Linked DNA regions of Lepisosteus oculatus. The protein of the gene in region 1 purifies or fractionates together with the protein of each later gene. This does not show direct contact. Links are inferred from orthologs where the notes say so. Each region holds a gene or a part of one and is shown in the gene's direction. Other genes may lie near its edges.

Region 1 (11,390 bases):
ATTATTATTTAAGATTGCTGTTTTGATTTTATATGTGTGAAGCATGACGTATTGCCCACTGTGCCTATTCCGTTCTGTTTGCCTATATTCCCCCAGCCAGTACTGCTTGTTCTTGTTTCTACAATAAGGTCATTATCATGCTGCATGATCATGCATGATGAAACACTGTTGAATAGTTATGAAAGCACATAAGCAGACAAAATGTTTCTGTACACTTTAGAAGTAATTCTTCTGCAATCATTAGTTCCAGAGATGACATACCTCCACCAAGCTTTAAGCAAATTATTAAGCATCACAGGGGTAGTGTATTGGTCTGGGCATACTGTGCGTTGTCACCTCTGGAACTAATAATTGCAGCAGTTTACAGAAACATATTCTTAAAACAACACTAATGTATAATTTTTGTTTGTTTCAGAGGTAGGGTTGTTTCTAATTTTCTGAATGTCACAATAAAATTTTAAAAGTATAAATCTAGCAAGACACAACACACATGAAAACCTAATATTGTGAATAATTAGTATTTAGGGTAAGAAGAAGCAGAGTACTGGTACAAAAAGCTTAAAATTTTAAAAATCCTATAAGTGTGTAAAGATTTCTGAAAGCTGTCTTTGTTGACTTAATTGAAAATTCAGAATTGTGAAAGGTATTGAGAAAGACAATCCATGGGATACTGTGATTGATTACACAAGTTTGTATGGAAAATAAGCTCAGTAGCATAGTGTACAGAAATAGGAGAGACACTTCTTTACAAACAGAAAAATGGTTAAAGCTGTCATTGTGGCATGCTTTATGAACATGGGATTCCTGGGTCATTAAGTTACTAGTAACCAAACAAGCAGTAGAGAATGAATGGTTTCCTCTTGTTTGCACTATTTTCTTCGTTTGACATTCTTCAAAGAGCAAAAGTGGTCTGTTTCCTGTGCCAGGATAAAGGTGAAGGGGAAGATGAGGATCCCATCAGTGCCACTGTACTGAAGTGGAAGGCAGACAAAGTGACTGCCATGACTCTCTGGACTCCAGTCGAGGAACTGAAGAAGCAGCCAGCAGGTGGACATCGACCCTTTCCATTCTGGTTTTTACTTGGCACACTCGAGATAAACTACAATTCTGTGTTATTGATTGTAACAAATTAACTTGTGTTGTGCTGCCTCTGTCTTAATACTTATTGATCTCTGTGGTGCCTTTGACAGTGTGGATTAATCTATTCCTCTGCACACTTTTGTCTCCTACATTTCTGATAACACAGAAATGGTCCTTACTCTTATCTATCCCTAATTTCTTCATCTACTCCTGTTCTTTGGGTTTTCTCACTTGTTCCCATGGCTTTCAATATTGTTTTGGTGTTGATAATGCTCAAATCCTTTTCTTTTCATTCTGTTGTTTACTCTGTCTTCTCCTGTATCTCTTCCACAACCATCACCTCTTGGCTGATGTCCTATAATATTAAACTTTCCTCAAAGTCTGACCTGTTTTGTTCTCCGTTCCTTTCTTTCCTCTCTCTGGACATTAATGAGGTCTTTTTCTCTTGACTCCATCACCCCTTTCCTTATTTTTCAAGAACCTTGAACCTTGAACCTTGAAGCATTGCAACACATTTCTTGTCTAGCACATTGCTCAGAACATGGTCTTTCCTTCCTTGTCCTTTTCCGAACAAGTTTTAGTACAGGCCCTAGGCAGTCTCCTGCCTAAACAATTGTAGTGTTTCCTGCTAACGTCATTCGTCCGCTCCAGACATCTGCTGCTTGGCTTTTTTTTATTCTTCCTCACTTAGCCCATGCTACTCCATTATTCCAATCCTACCATTGGCTCCTTATTCTAGTTCCTGCCTAGCGTTGCCAAAACCATTCTCCTCTTTCCTATCTTCACTCTCTTATCAATCCCTACAGACCCTTTGCAAAGTAGTGACATATGATAAATTATATCAGTGTGGTAGTAAATGGTGTTAAGAGTGAAGAAGAAATAATCAAGCAGAAGAGGATTGGAAAGAAAAAGAACACATGTGCAAATCAGCCTGTCCAGTTCAACATGGGTCTGTACTTTGTGATTATCCTGGAAATTGTTGTTCTTACTGGATATATGATTACATTACTAAGCTGGGTATGGCTAGTTCAGAGGCTGGGGCCTCTAAATATCTTGAACAAGGTTGCTGTAGAACCTTTTTAATGTAGAAATATTTACATTTTGTTTATTCAATGCAGCACCTGGGGAGGTGAAAGAGAGTGAAATACAGGCCACTGGGCCTGAGCCTACTATAGCAGAGGACAAAGAGGAAACAGACCTGGTTTCTGAAGTGGGAAAAGAGCCTGAGGTGGAGCCAGAGGGGACTCAGGCATTATCTACTGCCCCCGAAGAAGTAGAGGAGTGACTGCTGCAGCACGTCAGAGACACTGCTGCCACTAAATGAAAAACTATACAGCTGTACTTTTAGGCATGAATAAATAGATATTTTTACTAGGTCTACACTTTGTCATTTTTAAAGCAAAGTAAAAATAGTAAAATGATTTAAAGCATAATAAGGGTTTCAAACAAGCACATTTAATTAGTTCTATGTTTTGAATAGTGGATTGTTACATTTATTAAGTAAGATAAATAATCTGTTTATCCATGTTGGCTCACAGTTTAAATTACAAAATGTTTAAATTAAATGTAAGCAAACATAAAACAACAGAGAGCATTAATACATTATGATTATTTATATTGTCTTTCTTGTATTACATACTTGGCATTTTACAAATAAATTATTTCTGTTCATAAATCTTGAAAAGTCTTGCTTTGATGTGATTTTGCTGTAGTACCTTAATCTGGTCATGTATATCAATTCTCTTAGACTAGGAATAATTATTGTTGCTTTCTTTGAACTCTTTCTAAGGCTATTACTATTCTTTTAATGGTTTGGTGTCCAACAGTAAGCACAATATTCTAAATAAGGTCTTAGTAAACCATTGTAAGGCTTGAATAGAACTTTCACCGAATTAAAATCCACATTGCTATGTGTATATAGAAAAATTTTCTCTTGATAAGCATATAGGATATTGTACAGTACATAACCTGCCCTTTGAGTGCAGCTTTCTGTTGTTCTGAATTATCTATGTGATATATACAGTACAGTATATAGTCTATGTTTTTACATCCTGTGTGGATCGTACTTGTCAACATTTCAATTTCTATACCATTTGTAATTTTCCATGATTTTAGTAAATCCATTGCTGCTTTATCTGTGTTTGCCACTCCCCCGATATTTTGTATCATTTGTAAATTTAATCACTTATTAACTATCATTTCTGTTTAAGAATCAACATTTTATAAGGGTCCTTTTCAGAAGCTTTTTTTGTAAATCAAAATATATTACTAAAGCACGTTTTCATGTTAGGAGTAGCAGAGATCCAGTCCAGTAAATGTTATAGGTCACCCTGCATCATCAGTTTCTACAAAATTGTGAAAAAGTGGAGGTAACTCATTAGTTAAGAAAGTAATGTGCTTAAGAGAACTCCGATTTTCTTACCTCCTTTATTATCCCAGATGGGAAATTTGCTTTTCTGGCAGGTAAAATACATAACACAATACATAGTAGATAGATAAGACTTTATTGATCCCAAAGGGAAATTGATGTGTTTAGTACATTTAACACAACATGAACACATTAACAATTAAAGACATACAATGAAAAACGTTAGCAGCTTTAAGTAATCTTCAAAATTTAGACAAAGAATTTGGGTAATGGGTGTATGAGATAGATATATACAGTACTGTAAGATACATGAGAAAATAAAATTAATTTAATGTCTGGATTTTTTGTCACTTTGACATTATAGAGTACTTTGTGTTAATGAGTGGCACAGATTCTCAGTTAAATACATCATGGTTCCATGCTTTAACACAAAAAAAAAAGTCCAAGGGAAAAAGTCCAAGGCAGGTAAATACTTTTGCAAAGCACTATAGTAGCTATAAAACTGCTGGATTAGGCCTCAGGCTGCTTAATTTTATGAGCAAGGTTATATTGGCAACAGTGGTAGATCTAGTATTGAACCTCTAATTAGCTATTTCCTGTGTACTGGACATCAGGGCTATCTGACACACAAGGCACTAGGAAACAGAATAAGTTACTGAACATTTGGGTGTAGTCTATGCATTAAAATTACTAAGCATGCTTTCCTGCTAATGAAATTCACCACATCCATCTCTGGGGCTATTCATAGTGTTAACAAATACTGTTTCATTAGTGTTTTTTTTTAAAAAAAACATTATTGTTTTTTAAAAAAAACTGAAAGGAACAGATGGGCTTAAAATACTTTTCTTGTGCTGGCTGCTAGTCAACTAACATCTTGATGAATCCAGCTTAAGTACTTACTGTAAAAGTACTTAAGTACTAGCAGCCATATCACCCTGCAACTCATATCTGGTAACCCACTGAAGCAGCTGTGCACCTGGTCAGTACCTGGATGGGAGCCTACCTGGGAAAAACAAAAGTTTTTTTCAACCTCACCCTCAACATCAGCAAAACCAAGGACCTGATCGTTGATTTCAGGAAACTGCAAAACGGACATGCCCCTATCCACATCAGCGGGACTGAAGTGGAAAGGGTCAGTAACTTCAAATTCCTTGGCGGCCATATCGCTGAGGACCTCACATGGTCTCTCAACGCCACCTGTCTGATCAAGAAAGCGCAACAGTGCCTGTACTTCCTAAGACGGTTGAAGAAGGCTAAGATGTGTTCCCAGATCCTCACTTAATTTTACAGATGCTCTACAGAAAGCACACTGACAGGTTGCATCACTGTGTGGTATGGCAACTGCAGTATTGCTGACCGCAAAGCCCTACAGCGGGTGTTGAAAACTGCCCAGTCCATCACTGGGGCTTCCCTCCCATCTATACAGGACATTTATGACAGTGCTTGAGGAAAGCTCTAAGCATCATCAAAGACCCCACACACCCCAGCTACAGACTGTATGATCTGCTACCATCTGGAAAACGGTACCGGAGTATTTGGGCCCGGACTACCAGACTCAGAGACAGTTTTTACCCCCGCACTATCAAACTATTAAACTCCCAGTCTCTCTCACTCTCACCTCACCTCTCACCTATGATCTGAACCTCACAGTGCCTTCTTTCGTACCAAAAACTCAAAACACACATTGAAATCTACCTCTACCTTACATGTCAAAAGCTCACTCCCCATAATTTCTATCCTTTTATTTCATTCTGTTGATGCATGTTTTTGCACATCTGCTGTTGTTTTGCACATTACTGTTACCTTTTTGTTGTTTTTGCACACTGCCTATTGTCTCTGTCTTTCTTTTATTATACCATAACATTATTGTTGTTTTTTTGTACTACTTATCATCTGAGAGCTAGCTAAATAGCATTTCGTTATACCATATACAGTACCTGTACATGAGTATAATGACAATAAACTTGAACTTGAAGAGGTGTTAGTGGGGCCAGCACTGGGTGCTCACCCAGTGTATTAGGGCACTATACTGTATAGTATTAGGGCACTATACTGGGGCCCTAATGCCCCAGTATAGTGCTCTTGAAACAAAATAAAAACGTAATTTTCGAAATCCCTCTTACCTAACTCCTTGAACCATTATTTTGTAAATATTCTAGGTTGATCAACATTCATTTTTATAATTCAACCAGTCACAGAAGGCTTAGAGTGCTCCCTGGTTCAGTTTTGTTCCCTCTTTTATACACTGGTGTTACATTTGCATTTCTCCAATCTGTAGGCACAGCTCCCAAACTCGTGACAGTTGGAAAATATTTGTTAACGGTCTGTGAATAACATTATTAATTTTCTTAGGTATAATCAGGAAAATAATGCAGGGATACAGAGAATTAATATTTTAAAAACTCTTTTTACAATAAGAACTCAATTCAATAATAACTTAAGTTTTATTCTAAAACTACACAATATTGATGGAGTTGCTCTTATAACCCTTGACACATTATCGACATTTGTAAAAACCTGCATGAAATATTAATTTAGCACATTTCCTATTTTGCTCTGTTCTTTATCTCACATACCATTTGTTCTTGTATTATTTCCGTATAAAAAAGTAGTGCATTGTTTAGCCTCCGCATTAATATTATTCTCTCTCTCAGTGATTTTAATGTTCACTCTTCAGAGCCAGCAATTTTATCTCGCTTTAGAATACAATGATCTATTCTGTCCACTCGAATTTGTGCAAGGACCGCAGAGCCGGCGGTGATGATGTCATCATACTGCGACTGTTTTACAACGTGTTTCGGAGACGAGAATCCCTGTCCCACACGTGAAGAAAAAAGAAAAAGATGGCGTTACTACTGCAAGGTCCTGAGGTTCAGTTCGCTCAGAAACTGGCTTCTAACCAGAAACCCATTCGAACGAGGGCTATTAAGAAGCTGAAAAAATATATTGGTATTCGTTCACAGAAGCAAAAAGGTAAATATATTGGTCAACGGGCAGGATTGGTGTAGGAATCAGCGTAGTTACATCATGTACGTGGGGGCTGTTGAGTTCTAGCATTTTCCCCAAAAGTACTAATACGTTTCTGGACCTATATATTGTAACACATAGCGGATTTTATTAAAAAGCAGTTTCCATTGCTTTTAATCAAGAAATAGCCAGTACATTTTAGTTGCTGAAGTGATGCAGTTCTACATTTCTATTACGTGGACGTTAACTTCAACAAAGTTACTGTGGATGTAAGCTTTTCAAATGCATTCTCTGTGTAAATCCAGTCGCGTGTGTTCTGGTTTTGTTGGTTTTGTAGTACAACTAATATGTGACCTTTATTCGTGTTTAGTTAATATGCTACAGGTGAATTATACAGGTAGTGTTTTTATCACGGCCTGAAAATAGTAGTCAGTGCTCACCGACACGTGGTAAAAACTTCCATGAAGAAGGAATTTTACGATTTGCGTGTGATCACAATTAAGATATGTCATCATATCAGAACTTGTGTGCTCTTTGCAGGAGGGTTTACCAGTGAAGAATTGCTCAAAATCTGGAAGGGTCTGTTCTACTGCATGTGGATGCAAGACAAACCCCTGTTACAGGTAAGTCAGGGTATCCTAATCCTAATGTCATCCGCAGTGAAGCGACTTTCCAGGTCTCTCCAGAAAAAATAACCAAACACACTAATGATCATCCAAGTCCTGGGTTTTGTCATCTTAACAATAAGGAGAACCATGTTTACATCTCCCAGTCTTGGCTGTTTAAGTTTTTTTTCTACAGTGGATAAATGAACCTCTTCTGGTTGGGATATTTCTTTGAATTCAAGGTCAACAGTTTGACTTTTCATAATTAAAAGTGAAACCCAGCAAACAACAGAAGTGGGACTTAAAGGGAAGTGCATTTAAAACTGAGAACAGGAGGACCATCTTCACACAAAGTTGTGGGTGTCTGCAGCAAGCTACCTGGCCAGTGTTGAATGGCAGGAAAATCACTTTATAAAGAAGTCTTGTGCTTTTGAACATTATCCTTCTGAAAGATTAATTAGATCTTTTCATCCTAGTTTGTAGTTAGCAGAGGTGTATTAACTTATCAAGTTAGTAGCTATTTGATCCAAGTATCCCATTCAGCCATTTCTTAAGAAGCTTAGGAATCAGCTTCAACAACTTGGCTGTGATGCCCGTTCCATTCTCCTACATCGTTTCCACTAGTGTCATCAGGTTCACGTTTCTCCATCCATTCTGAAAGGTTGGCCCTTTTTCATTGCCTTTGTTTTTCAATCCTTAAATGGCTTCTTCATAGACTTTTGTCTCAAGAAATTCATTTCTTTTTTATTCTGTGCAAGATATTCCCTCAATGCCCATATTGTATCTGGGTGTTTCTCTGTTATGATTCTACAGCAGTTATATCTTTTGTACCATGGTGACCAATAGTGCATTATACAATTTTAACATAACATCCCTTTGTTAAGTGTTACACATTTAATTATATATTACATTAGTTTGCCTTTTTATTTGTTTTCTGTGGAGCAGTGGTCATTGTCATCTGTTCTCACCATGGAAGATTCTTGTGCTTTTTGTTTCGGTTGACCTTTCTTGTTTTTTTTTTAATAGTTGAATTTTGTAGGGTTTCACTCTCAAACACCAGGAGCTAAAAAGTTATGCCGGGATCTCTATTACTGCTTCACCGGAAGTCACCTTTTTATTGTTTTCACACCATGAGTGCAGGATAATAATGTAAACATAAACACTTAAGTTGTTCTCGTAAATGACTTTCAGTATAGTGTTTCCTGCTTTTTATGCTAATTGCATGCAGCACCCTGAACATCAGGCATTGATGTTGAAATGCATTTATATACCTCTGCTTCTACTGTTGGCTGCATCAAAAAAAATTGGTTTTATTATTTATTTGTGTAAGCCTGTCTGTGTTTTTTGTGAAACTCCTTGGGAAAATGTATCATAAACAGCATTATATTAAATAAAATTAATTTTAATAACAGTCTCAACAACCAATGAGGGAGGAGCATACTTAGATTGTAAACCAACAAGTAAACAGATTAATTCAATAAAGGACCTTTATGCTTTTGAATTTCAAACTGATGGGCTGAATAAATAACCTTTGAAGGAGTGAATAAAATGAGCAGTAATGGTTCACTCTAAATCCATTTTGTGTTTGCTTCAGGACAACAGCTGTGGATACTGGATTTCTCTGAGCACATCTAAGAGGTTTTCTAGGGCTTTGCAAATTACATTTTATGTGAATGATAAGATCTGTTCCTTTATTTCAACAGTGGAATATAATTGTTAAATGGGTGATTTATTTTTAGATTTCTGATATTTGTAGGTGGTACCTACTTCCCACATAAGCATTTTCATATTGTACTAAGATTGCCAAGTGAATCCTTGCAAAGTATGTGCGAGAAGAAATAACCTCTGCTGTTTTTTCATTTTTCTGGATCAGAATGTTCTGTAATTGTAACGTAACAGTTCCCAGAATGGAATTTACATCTAATAAGCTGTCTGTTCTCTGCTCTGGTTTGCAGGAAGAGCTGTCTGCTGTTCTGTCCAATCTGATTCATGTCTTCCAGAGTATGGACAGCAGTAAGTTGTCTGTACAGTACCTTGTGGTATCACTCTGAAAGTAGGACACTGTGTTTTTCTGATATTCATTCATAGGCAGGAGCATCTGGGGGTTTTTGTTTTCACCTAAATTATATTAATCACATAGTTCTTAAACATCATGTCCCATCACTAGACCCAATTTACTAAAGGGTAAACAGACCCTGTATTAAAATAATTGTTGGATAAGATGCTTCATTCTATTATATAAAGATATATTTTCTTATAAGCAATTATATAAAGTACCTTTATTAATGGTATGATAAAGTAAAAGGTTTCTTGCGAATTAATTCAGACACTTTGTGGTGTACCTTTTCTTGAAAATACTCTATTTTTAAACTTAATATTTTACTAAGAATATAGAGGAAAGACTCGGGTTTTAAGTTATAGTACATGTCTTCAGAAACTAAAAAGAGAAATAAACTGAAATATGTTAAATATTAAGACTTGTAAACTAAATATTTCTGTTTGGCCAAGTCTCTACCAACTTTGCACATTGGCTTGATGCAATTTTTGCCCATTCTTCTTGGACGATTTGCTCAAGCTTTATTGTATTGCTTGGTTATAGAGAAATGTGGGATTTGAGATGTTTTTTTTTATTCTTCCATACAGACTAGCATTGTGAAGTGATCTATAGGGGATTTTGTTGACTTATTCACATTTTTTCCCCATCTCAGCCATTGAACTCTGTATCTCAGATTCACTGTTGACCTCATGGTTGCATCAGTGACCACTGTTCGCCTTGCCTAGATGCTCAGTTTGGAGGGACAGCCTGATCTAGGCAGTTTTTGGGTGCCTTCCATGGTCAAAGAGATATAGTTTTTAAAAGTAGTTCAAATGGGTAGCTGTGTCAGCATGCGTAGGCTGCAAAGTAACAAGTAATAGGTTAATTCCATGCCGAAAAGAGAAGAAAGAAAACACAATGTTTTAGCTGTGGAGCCTTCTTAGGGTGTGAGCTCACCCTAAGAGTCTGTATTAGAACTTTCAGCTCCAGGTCACAGAGCCCAGGCTACAAGGTTCTTTGTAGACTTTTTAAACTTTTAAGTATTCAGAAGTAGTAGTCTTAGTTATTTGTGACCATGTGAAATTCATGGCTGAAATATATTGATGGCTCAAAATCTAATGTAATGTCCTTTAGTAATTAGGGACAAGCAAAACATGATTGCAATACATTTCAAACTGCAGACATGGAAACACAAAATAGATGCAGCTTATCTGGTCATACAGTACATATTTATATAATTTATTGTTTTTATGTTGTATTTAACGCTTGCTTTAATAGAGGAATGCGGGGAAGGAGTGTCTGGTATTGCTGGCTGTCCATTAAATTACCAACAAGATAATGTGATCCCAAAAAATACATTAGTGAGAAAAAATATATACTGTGTATATGCATACTGAATGTATATAAATTTCTGCATTGTATGTGATCTGATGTCTTCATCATTAATTAATTCATTGTTTTATGGAAAGGTTTTATCACTTCAGTGCATATACTCAAAGGTTTTCCATAGGTTCATTTATTTCATTTTGGAATCTCAATGTTAAATCATGTACATAAAGACACAAAGTGAGTTGTCCTTTTAAGGATCTTTTCTAGATCCTGTGTGTTAAATCCCAAGCCCAAGTGATGTCTGTTAAAGCAAGGGTTTATTGTACTGTAGTTTGGCAGTAGTGTCCCCACCCTAACCTGATAACTACAGATTGCATTAAACTGAACATGGTTAATACAGTGATGTAAGACCTCTTAGAAAAACCTAGCTGCTGCTCTACATTGTGTTTTTGTAACAGTAGAGGCACAATTACCACAATATCTTGTTGGTAATTTAGACCAGATTTCAGTCCTTTACCTAATTACATACTCTACTGTAAGAGGCTGACATTTTGGTGGATTAAATTGCTCTATTTTTATATGTGAAGTGATTTTGGATGCTTTGGAATCAAAATCTACCAATGTAATCTACTACTATTACTTTACTAATTTCTAAGAGTGAAAAAGTAATAAGACAATTTATGAGTATCATTTACAGTTTAGAAAATTTTAAAGACAATTGTCTTTAAAACAGCTGTTTTCTTTTTTCCAGAATTTTTGTTTGTAGAGACATTTCTACAGACCATGAACCGTGAGTGGACTGGCATTGACAGACTTCGAATGGACAAATTTTACATGGTGGGTGCTGTGTTGGACTGTCCCCTCTTACATTAGTAGACTAGTCCTAGTTTGAGGAATATAAGTCCTACAGATAAGAAAGGGAAATTAATTTAATCTTGTGTTCCAAATTATACAATTTTGGCCATCACATAGGATGTTACGTACAGTACATTGTTAATTTGAAAGC
Region 2 (10,700 bases), on another chromosome or scaffold:
CCCCCGCTGACTGAAAATCCTCTCGCACACAGAGCACTGGTAAGGCTGAGCGACGGTGGGCAGAGCACAGCAGCTGTAATTCACCATGGTGTCCTTGCCCAGTGCGCTCTCCAGAACAGCAACACTGTGCTTTGGTTGACAAAGCCCGGCAGGGTCCCTTTCAAAGGCTGTGTTAGCAAAGACATTATCGGAATCTCTCATTTCAGCGGCCTCTGGGTTTTCCTTTACAATACAGCTATATGTGACTTGAGCCTGGTAGATTTGGAGTGCATTCTCTCCATTCTCTCTTCGGTTCAAACCCTCCCACTTCTCCTCAGAGTCTCTGGTGTTTCTGTTGATGTTTCTGATACCTCTTTGGGCTCTAGCTGCAGCGTCATCAATGTCTGTGGGAAATTCGCCCGTGTCTTCACCCGTCGTATTGGTAAAAAAAACACACTTCTCACCCCTACAATCCTCCCTTTTTTCCATAGCACCACAGCCTTTGCCACCCCCGGCCATCACAAACGTCCGCGTGTCGACATCAGAATTGCTTGAATTTCCGTTTCCCTGGCTGAGTTCATTGCGCCCTGTCTGAACACCCATACTTGCAGTTGAAGTGTGTGAATATTCACCTTGATGTACGGGATCATTTTCAGCACCACACACAGTCAAGAAGCTACAGGTCTCGTTCTCAGAACGCCCTGGATTGTGAACTTCAGCTGCTACATTGTCACCGTCGTCCACAACCACTGCCGGACTCCTACTACCCAAAGCGGAGAACGGCTGTATTGTGGCCGTTCTAGTGTTGCTGCCAAGCGCTCCCTCTGGTACGAGGGGCCACTTTTCAGTTCCGAGACCACTGCGAGTTCTGCTGTCGGATACACCTTCACAGGCCTGCGGACGCATGGGTGTGCTTTCATGGACGACAGCCCTTTCACTCTGTGCTGCGAGCCCTACAGCACATCTTTCGGCAGCCTCCCCCCAAAAATCACCTTTCGCCTCGTCGAAATCCCAGGGATCGTCACACTCGGTGACGGCGGCGCGGTGGGGACCTGTGCTTTCTGCCAACGCCGCGGCTCTGCTGATTATGACGCTGTTCTCAGAGCTCGTCTTGCTGCTCTCGGATTCAGCTGCAGTTGGGTTACTGAGAGGGCAGGGGGGCTCAGCGCCGGCAGTGCCACTCAGTGCTGAAGGCCAGTTGGCTTGCTTTAAAATCCCGTATGAACCTGTCCCGTACTGTAATCCGTGACTCTTGGGCTGGTTTCCAGAGCGAGACACTGTTATTCCTTGGTCGCCGCTACCTGCCTCCTTGCTTTCACCGCAGTGAAACCCCAAGTCCAGCATGTCTGAACCAGGAATCTGGCTCGGGAGGGGAGTCTGCGTTCCTGGGAACGAGGATGTCTTCTCAGGTTTTCCTCTTGTGCTTGCACGCCGAATGACTGGAACGACCTCGCAGCTGGGCACCAGTGGTGTGGTCTGTTCGGGTTTGCCGTTGAGCAGGGGCGACGGGAGATCTCTTGGCACTGGCTGGTACTCTGCCAGTCGCCTCTTCCGGTGTGTTCTGAGTGCTTCAGACTCTGCTGGGGAATACATAAACACAATAAATAGGATACTATTTCTGGTTTGTTAAAACAGCATTTTCTATGTTATGCTTGCTTTAGTTTTTAAATTCTGAAGAGCTCAAAAGATAACACCTGCAACGCCCATACTATTTTTATGCTTAAGGTATACTTACATGTGAATTTTAATAAGTAAAAATACATGCATCAACCATTTCATTTTTCTCAATGTGTTTTGAGAAAAGTGAACATCGAAACATTTTGATACTAGATCCTGTTACTTTCAGCCATGTAAATCAAGTGTCAAGATAAGAGCTCTTTATTGGCCATATACAATTTCTAGTATTAGGAATTTGTCTTTTCACATACTGTACCTCAGCTTGCTCTCCATGAGACACCCAGACAGGGAGAGAAGCTTGGGGTCAGAGCGCAGGGTCAGCCATTTATATGGAGCCCCTGGAGCAGCTGAGGTTAAGGGCCTTGCTCAGGGGCCCAACAGAGTAAGATTCCTCTGCTGGCCGCAGGATACAAACCGGCAAACTTCCAGCCACAGGCCCAGATCCTTAGCCAGAGACCCACCACACCACCCCTGGTGCATTATAATCATGGTGCATTTCAAGTGATGCTGTTAAAGTTATTTGTGCTACAGTTTTTGTTCTGTTTCCAGCCTGATTAAAGTGTTAAATGGTGTACATCTATTTTTAAGGCATATGGGAGAGACAAAGTATGTCGCAAAAGTGGCATTGGCTCAGTATTGCACACATACATTCCAGAAAGGGGATTAATAGTTAAGACAGAAGCTTTAGACATACAGTATGTAAGAATTGCAAAAGCAAGCATTCAGATAACAGAGCTGTGTATTGCACCCAACCTGATGCTTGCTCCTTCACTGGGGCTGATTCTCCTCGCCCTGGTGACCCCAACAGCGCAGCCCCTCTGTGGCCGAGAGCCTGCAGGAGCTGCTCCATCTCCAGATAGACAGCAGCCGACAGCACAGAGTCCTTCAGGTCGAGTGGTGGCAACGTCCCAGTGTAGATGAACTCCAGGAGCAGCCCCATGGCTTCAGGGGTAAGAGTAGGGCACCCCAGATCGAGCAGAGAGCCCTGACTGGGGAGAAGGGAAGCCAGGAGAGGGCTTGAGGCAGCCAGGACACTTCTGTGGGCTATGTAGAGTTTTTCAGGGTGAAGCTGCAACCTGATCACACAGTCACAGAACTGGCCTGACTGCCTCTGAGAGTTCAGCTCCCTCAGCAGAGTGAGGGCGTGGGAAGAGACTGGGAGAGGACAGGCCATCACCTAGAGAAGGGAGAAGACAGATTTGCGTGTTCCATTCATTTCTCAGAGCCGCATACAGTACAGTAATTCACATAGAATGAGAGAAAGGGACAAATACACAGAGTGCACCAGACTTTCCTTTTAAATGTTTCCACTACATACCATTTAAATGTATTCTGTTTCTGAATCAGGTTGAGAAATAGGTTTCGGTCTCTGTTATGCACTGGAGAATTCTGCTGTGCAATACTTACGTAAACCAGAAACGTTAGGAGTAGGAAATAAATTGGTTGGCATTAACAAGAAATTAGATACAACATCAGACAAAGCCTGTATGGTGTACTGGGTCTGAACACTTTCATTCCTGCATCACTACAAGTACTAAGAGTAGTGGTAAATGACGGCATTAAGCTGCTGCGGTGACGATACACACTTTATGGAGAATTACAGTTAATTAGGGGGATAAGCACCCGCTCTGCTCTCCCTGAAGTCTCCTGCGAGCGCCCGGGTACCTGCGGACAGGCCAGGACAAGAGGCTACGTGCGCTTTCATTCGAAAACAATCACACGGTTTCGCAACGGCGAGCCCTACGTGACTCTGTCTGTTGCAGATAGGGGAGTGGAGTCCCGCTGTCCTGACGTCAAGGTCTCTGAACTCACCGCTGGAGCGCCCTGCCCCAGGACACTGCCTGTGCTCGAGGCTCCAGCGTGATAACCCACCTCCTGATGACGCTCCGTTTTTTTTTTATTCCGTAAAAGGAGTAGCATACACACGCACATGTGACCCCCTAGCCTGAGGTCCAGCTCTGCTCAGGGGGTTGAGTCCAGTGCCGTTACAAGATCTGTCTCTCGCGCGCAGTCCACCGCAATGGAAAGTAAATGATATCCACGTGGACCGAAGACCTTGTGAGCTTCCAACAGGCTAGAGCCGACTGCAGCGGGTTTATTTAAAACGCCTGGCTGTCGCCAGATGACGCTTTCCGGAGATAATAGTTCGTGCGCTTATCGACACGAAGCTGCTCTTTAATCATTAAGGTACAAAACAAATACCGCATATTCTCTTCGCTTTTATTTGTTTCCAATTTATTTTTGAAGGTAAACACCCTCCCTATATTCTGCGATTTAAAAAAACATGTTCATCTTATTAAATTGCGGGATTCTTAAAACACCCTTCTCACCGAGTCGTGGTTCCTGTCTCACAATCAAAATAGAATGCATTTCTTTAAATAAAAACATCTGAAATAAACTTTACTTAATTGAGCTGCGTAATGCATTTTCACGTCCATGCAACTTTACATATTCGGTGCAGATATTCTTTTACTGAAAGTTATATTCCACACACACACACCATATACAGCATTTACTGTGCACATTTTGTAATGTCACGTATGACAAATGGCTGCCATTAAATTAGTAAAAGTGAGCTGACAAGAAAAACGTTTCTAAACACAAATTTTAAAAAATAAATCATTTTTAGTTTCTAAACCTAATTTGCGTTGTCGTATAGAAGCATTTTAATTCCAATATGAACTAAGACTTCAGAAATCTGTTCCTTCTTTTCCTTTCACTATTCTTTTCCTTGCACAAATTCAAAACAGTGGTAATTCAGAAATTCTGAATGTATAATCATCCTCTTAAAGCAGCTGGTAAAATAAAATACATACCTGTGGTGTTTAGTTAAAAAACTATGAAGAAATAGTTTGTCAGTATATAGCAGAGGCTGTCTGACCACCGGACACAATCACAGCCTTACGGCCCATGCTGGCTATCCAGAACGCCGCGGGTGTGTTTAAAGACTCAGCTGAGAAGCTACGTGCGCTTCCATTCGGAAAATACCATCAGCCGCTGCTAGAGACAAGCTAGACGTCACACCAGAGCACCAGACATCTGTAAGGGGGGGGGGGGCACCCCACCATGACGTCACACATCACTCAGCTCCTTAAAAAGTGTGTTCCCAGGCTTCTCCAGTGCCGCTGCAACACGCCCCTTGTCCCAGGATAGGTCTTTCCTTCTAATCAGTGACAGATCCGCGGCTGTAATATACAGTTTAGACGTGGTAGTGAATTTCAGTTAATGTTTTATTTTAATGTTAAGGTTGTGTTGTTGTATTGAACTTAAATCGCAAAACAAATTGCCCTTAGGTGATAGTAATAAAATATGAATTGAAATGGACGAGTTTATGAACATTTTGTTTTGACATCGCTGGAGGGATATTGTATTAAGGCGATTATTTACTTTTTAAGTTTTTTATAATATAATATCGCAGTGATTACAAAGGATCACTTACAATGTTTAAAGATCAACTGAAAGCGTTGTGTTAATGGATGCAATAAATATGGACAATAAAATAAACAATATGGCTCATACTGATATTAAGCATTGCTCAGCTTTGTAAAACATCTCTTAGCTTCTTGTCGAGGAATATTTGCGAAACATCCGTTTACAGGCAACAAAACAAAAAATCAATTTATGAAAATAAAACTAAGCGTCTCGTTACGCTTTATCCAGCCACTCATTTCAATGTTTATCTTCTGAAATAACTATGATAATTAAAATGTACAAAAATAATACATAATAGATGTTAACTATAGGTTACCATTATAGGTGGTAACTAACAGTCGTGGGTATATTTAAAATCCGTGTCATACAAAATAAACGCGCTTATTTACATGCAATATGCACAATCTCAGTGGCACCAAACTCACAGCACTCCACTGCTTAGCGCTGAAGGCTCATTTTCAGTTAAGATTACATACAGAACACCCAATTGTCCACGTAAACAAATTCTGAAACTAATTTCCAATAATTATTGATGCAACATAACTCCGCAAACATTTATTTCAGCGAGTTCAATTTCTCCCAGCTAGTTCCATTTCTCCACGACGCACTGTTCTTTTGTGGATGAATATTTGTTTTTAGTGTAATGTTTACGTGGTCTTTGGGACAAAAGGGACACTCTCCTCGATCCCAGGTGTTGAAGAGCCTTGATGTTTCACCTGTAGAATGCAGTTACTGAGCAGAGCAGCCTTCAAACAACGTGTTACTGGCAAACCAAGGTTGGTGAAGAGGTAAGAAAAATGAGTTTTAAACACCCTCGTTTAAGTGTTGTAGCAATAAAATGAAACAGTGCAATTATCTAGGTAGGTACAAACTATTTTCACCACGTTTGCATTGTTTGTTTTTAGTCTGGTGTTACCGGAGTCCTACACGTCTTGACGTTTATTCCACTTCCAGTGAATAAACACCTTGTTTCTGTACACGCAGCTGGTCTCTCAGCCGCATGGAGCGACGCGCTCTGTTTGGCGTCTCTAGCTTGCCGTAGTCCTGATAGCGGATATGGTTGCTGTGGAGGGGGATGTTCTTTCCTTGTTAGCTTTGTCGCCGAGACGGCAGTAGGAGCCCGTCTTTGGGAGAACTTATCGGGTGAAAATGCCGGGAAAGATTGTTGAAAGTGAAGACATCGGGATGGAAGACGATCTTGACACCAGTATGGAGGACTATAAGCCATCCAAGGTGGGGAAAGGCGATGGTTTATAGCTATAATAGCATTCGTGTTTATACTGTACCCAGTCAGAAGTTACATGGATGCCAAGCACGTGTGTCTGAGAGTGTACACGTGTGTGAGATATTTAAACGTTTTCTGAGAAAGTAGATTTAATTCTTATGACGGGACAACAGAGTAGCATTTGACTAAGGTAATCAATAATACGTATTACTAATTTATCTTTACATTCTGGTATATTTATATAATGTAGTTTTGTTATTGTAGCACTTGTCAGACAACATGATAAAAGTGTGACGTTCAAATACTTAAAACGGCCATGCTTATGTAAAGGCAGTGAGCTGTGGGTTTTATCCACAAAACATCTTCATGGTTCACGCTGTCAAGTGCCAGGCGTTTTAGGTACCACATGTTGGGTATATACTTGGATTGCTTGTAAACACATTGGACGAAGTATGTTTTTGTTGTTGCTCGGCAGAAACAAAAGAAGGGAAAGAAATCTAAGGATGAAAAGAAACCCAAGAAAAAAAAGGGAACAGTGGAAGGGCAGCCCGATGAGACTGACACACCTCCTCCCAAGAAGAAAAAGCGGGCTTCTGTCGAAGAGCCACCAGCCTCTGAAACGACAAGTAACGGAGACGCCGTCAGGGGCAGCTCAGCAAAGAAACACAAGTCCAAATCCGTCAATGGAACACCATTAATGAAAGATTTGCCTCATTCCAGTGAAGAATCCGGCAGTGATTCTGGCCATGAAACAGAGCCTAAGGTAACGCTTGTGAATCTGCTGGTCAGGTTTTAAAGCTATCCATTTACACGTGTTGTATTAATGCCGTTAGAGAAGGTAGCTCTTTTGATTACATCTGGAGTTAGTTCAGTCTCTAGGATATCTTTATACCCGGTGGAGTGCAGTGCCATTGGGCTACTTAAGTGTTTATGTTTAGAAGGAAGGAAAAAATTGGCATTCACAGGTTATTAATAATTGCTTACACATATACAGCGCTTATCTGGACACTCCACTCAAAGTGCTTTACAGGTAATAGGGACTCCCCTCCACCACCACCAATGTGCAGCCCCACCTGGATGATGTGACGGCAGCCATAGTGCACCAGAACACTCACCACACATTAGCTATTTAGTGGGGAGGAGAACAGTGATGAAGCCAGTTCATAGATTGGTATTATTAGGAGGCCGTGATTGGTAAGAGCCATGGGAAATTTGGCCAGGACACCAGGGGTACACCCCTACTCTTTTCAAGAAACGCCCTGGGATTTTTAATGACCACAGGGAGTCAGGACCTCGGTTTTACGTCTCATCCGAAGGACGGAGCCTTTTTACAGAGTATAGTGTCCCCATCACTACACTGGGGCATTAGGACCCACATGGACAGCAGGGTGAGTGCCCCCTGCTGGCCCCACTAACACCTCTTCCAGCAGCAACCTTAGTTTTTCCCAGGAGGTCTCCATCCAGGTACTGACCAGGCTCACACCTGCTGAGCTTCAGTGGGCTGCCAGGTGTGGGTAGCAGGGTGGTATGGCTGCTGGCATTAAATGTTTAATGTTCCCTACACGCTTCTTAAATCACAGTCATAGCCCAGCATTTGACCTCTATACCTGCAGTACCACTAAAAATAGTGTTGATCTCAGAGCAGCACGAGATGTAATTATCCCAAGAAAAACACACTTTTGCCCCCCGCCCCATCCTGTGGTGCCATCAGTTCCAACAGCATCAGCTGCCCTAAAGAACGTTGTGGTGTTTTTCGCTTCCCCATCAGCCGAAGAAGACGGGGAAGGCAGTCGTCAATGGCGTCTCGACAAAGAAGTTGAAACGGCAAGCCAGCAGCTCCCCGGAGCAGGGAGCCTCGGTGCTCACCCCGTCTCATTCCAGCGAGGACTCCAGCATCGACAGCGAGAAGGAAGCGGAGGTATGAAATCCGGCTGGTCCTTCGCGTTTCTAAACCGGCATGCTCAAAGCCTGCTCCTCGGTTTTACTTGAAAGACCTGCGTGTGTGTGTTTTAATGGAACATTCTTTTAAAGAGATCCTAATTATCTGACGTCCGCCCTTCATGTGACTCTGTTTGTTACGTGTGCTAGTCTATTTGGTGTTCAGTTGAAAAGTGAAATAAAATCGGGCTTGGTGGAGCTTTACTAAAAAGAAAGGAAGTGAAGATGTTTTAAATTAAGTGGGCATTTCCTTCATGAAGACTTTTTTTGTCCCCTGCAGTCGTCAATGTAGACTACAAGAGTTCTTCTAGGACTTCGTAAAAGCTCGTTAACTATATAATTATAAAAAATAATTGGAAATTTAGAGTGGACACCGATGTCCTGCTCGCGTATAAAGCACAGAACGGCTTAGCACCTGATTATTTTAAGGCTTATTGCATGTGTTAACTCCATCTCTTAATGTAGGACATATTGATTTAGGCCTTCTTACTCTGCTGAGTTCTGTTGACATGTTTTTTAAAACTTGCTTAAAGACCTATTTTCCACAGTTGCTTTAATATGTAATTTGGGTATACTCTTGGTTTTATTAATTCAGTTGGCTGTGCATTTATTTTCTGTTTACTAGTTTCTACACAATTGTGCCGTTTTTTATTTCTTTGAAAGTGCTTATAACTTAAAGTGTAGTACATTACCACTACTTTCACTGTTAATATTTCTATTTGAAATTTCAAACACCCTGCAGAAATTCTGCTAAGACTGCGTCCTAAGACTGTGCATTATTAATTCTAAAAAAGCCTTTTTCCTTGGTTACTCAGACTTCAGATCACAGCATTCACAGGCACTTGATACTTTGCCTCTTGTCAGTGTTTAAATACTCCTGGTGGTAAATGTTTCTGTTGAAATCACTCCAGAGGAAAAAAACTGGTGGTGTTTTCTGAACGGGTCATATAAAGGAAGTCCATTTCATTCTGGCTACATTTCTTTTACAAACTGGAGAATGCCTTATATGTGCTGTGTTACACATCGCAAGGATTGGCTTTGCTTATGCATGTTTTCTGTCAGAATATTTAAAGTTTGTGCATATGAACTTGTCAGCAGCATTGTTGAACCACTTTTTGCAACATGTCTTTTCTGTCAAGGTAGAAGTTTGATGTTCAGCCAAACATGTAAAGCTTGACTTTGCACTGTATTTGAACCTCCCCACACACACATATATACCCCTCAGATGCAGTGATTTAAGATAGATGCTGGAATTACACTTGTTCCTCTCTTTGAAGTACCATTGTGTTCTGTATGTGTTTAGGAATTAACTCCAGAACAGAAAGCCGGTGCCTTCTCCAATTTCCGAATCTCCAAAGAAACCATTCAGCTTCTTCAAGGTATTTCATCCCGTCTTACCTATCCATTTTAAACCAGTATTAAGCCTGTAATTGTGCCTCTTTTGACTGATTAGCAACAAAATGGTTGGTGAGTTGATGCTGATTAGTTTATGCCCACCCAGTACCAGAGCACCTGTGTGACGACGGCAGAGGTTGAAAGAGGATGACAATAGAGAGAGACTCTCTTTTTATTTGAAAGTGTGCTTCACATGCAAGAGAGGATGAAGCTTAAAATTCATGCTTTTCTGTCATGGTAGTACTCCAAGGGGGATAGTGTTTTCCAGTCCAGTCATTAATCGAGTTGCTCTTTAAAAAATTTTGTGTCTTGAGTAACGGTTGCATAAACACACTGGTTTATGGGTCTCCGTATGTTATTCCGTGTCTTCTGGTGTTCTTGCGGGACAGTTGTAGGACTTCACAGAGCTGTCGCAGCACAGCTGCGGACTCGCCACCCAGCACAGCATTGGAGAGTGATCTCACGATATCTTCATTTTTGTTCTGTACTGCTACTGCATTCTGACTTATAAGCAACAGTGCTTTCACTGAGCATCATCATTCACTTCTCTTCTTCTCTGGGGGCCGTGAGTGATGTTAGCTGGCAGCTAATACAGTCATTTCTGTGCTATGTTACTGTTTACAATGATGGTAAAACACAAGAAAAAGAACCCCTGTACTTCAATAATACAAGCATGGTCTGTCTTTATGTACCTCTCTCCTTACTGAGAACTACCACTTCATCCACATTAAACCCATAAATGAGAGATGAAAGCACAGGTCTATTTCTTGAAATATTAGTAGAGTTTATAAGTGCTGTTTATATTTTATATCTTTCCCTATGATACTTAAAATCAGTTAGAAACGCTGGTTTTAAGCCCAAATGGAGCTGATGTGCATGACAAATAAAGCCCACTAGAGGGCATCATTTACCAAAAATTATTTTGGGTGTTACAGGAACCTTTAAGCATATACTACCATTGAGTTCAGACATGTGGAAATCTATTGTCAAAAGTCTGCTTTGACTTATCCTGCTGTTCTTTTTTCTTTGTTGCTCACCCTAGAAGAATTGTTTT

Evidence for each region. Proteins that work in one complex are often made in the same cells at the same time.
Region 2: the proteins of ribosomal RNA processing protein 1 homolog A (region 1) and ddx21 purify together in Homo sapiens (affinity purification with mass spectrometry; 3 studies listed by BioGRID and IntAct, with this or other methods). This does not show direct contact. The link is inferred for Lepisosteus oculatus from reciprocal best matches to the Homo sapiens genes RRP1B and DDX21.

Annotation. Positions count from the first base shown.
Region 1 is NC_090710.1:1,215,127-1,226,516, forward strand, and holds the start of ribosomal RNA processing protein 1 homolog A, read left to right. Parts: upstream 1-6,252; 5' UTR 6,253-6,291; coding exon 6,292-6,421; intron 6,422-6,955; coding exon 6,956-7,038; intron 7,039-8,975; coding exon 8,976-9,033; intron 9,034-11,135; coding exon 11,136-11,221; intron 11,222-11,390. Other genes in the region: rsph1 (radial spoke head 1 homolog), read left to right, coding at 927-1,047, 2,199-2,365. UniProt on the Homo sapiens protein: Positively regulates DNA damage-induced apoptosis by acting as a transcriptional coactivator of proapoptotic target genes of the transcriptional activator E2F1.
Region 2 is NC_090699.1:30,701,849-30,712,548, forward strand, and holds the start of ddx21 (nucleolar RNA helicase 2), read left to right. Parts: upstream 1-6,158; 5' UTR 6,159-6,237; coding exon 6,238-6,321; intron 6,322-6,788; coding exon 6,789-7,076; intron 7,077-8,081; coding exon 8,082-8,231; intron 8,232-9,554; coding exon 9,555-9,630; intron 9,631-10,700. Other genes in the region: hypermethylated in cancer 2 protein-like, read right to left, coding at 1-1,559, 2,410-2,830.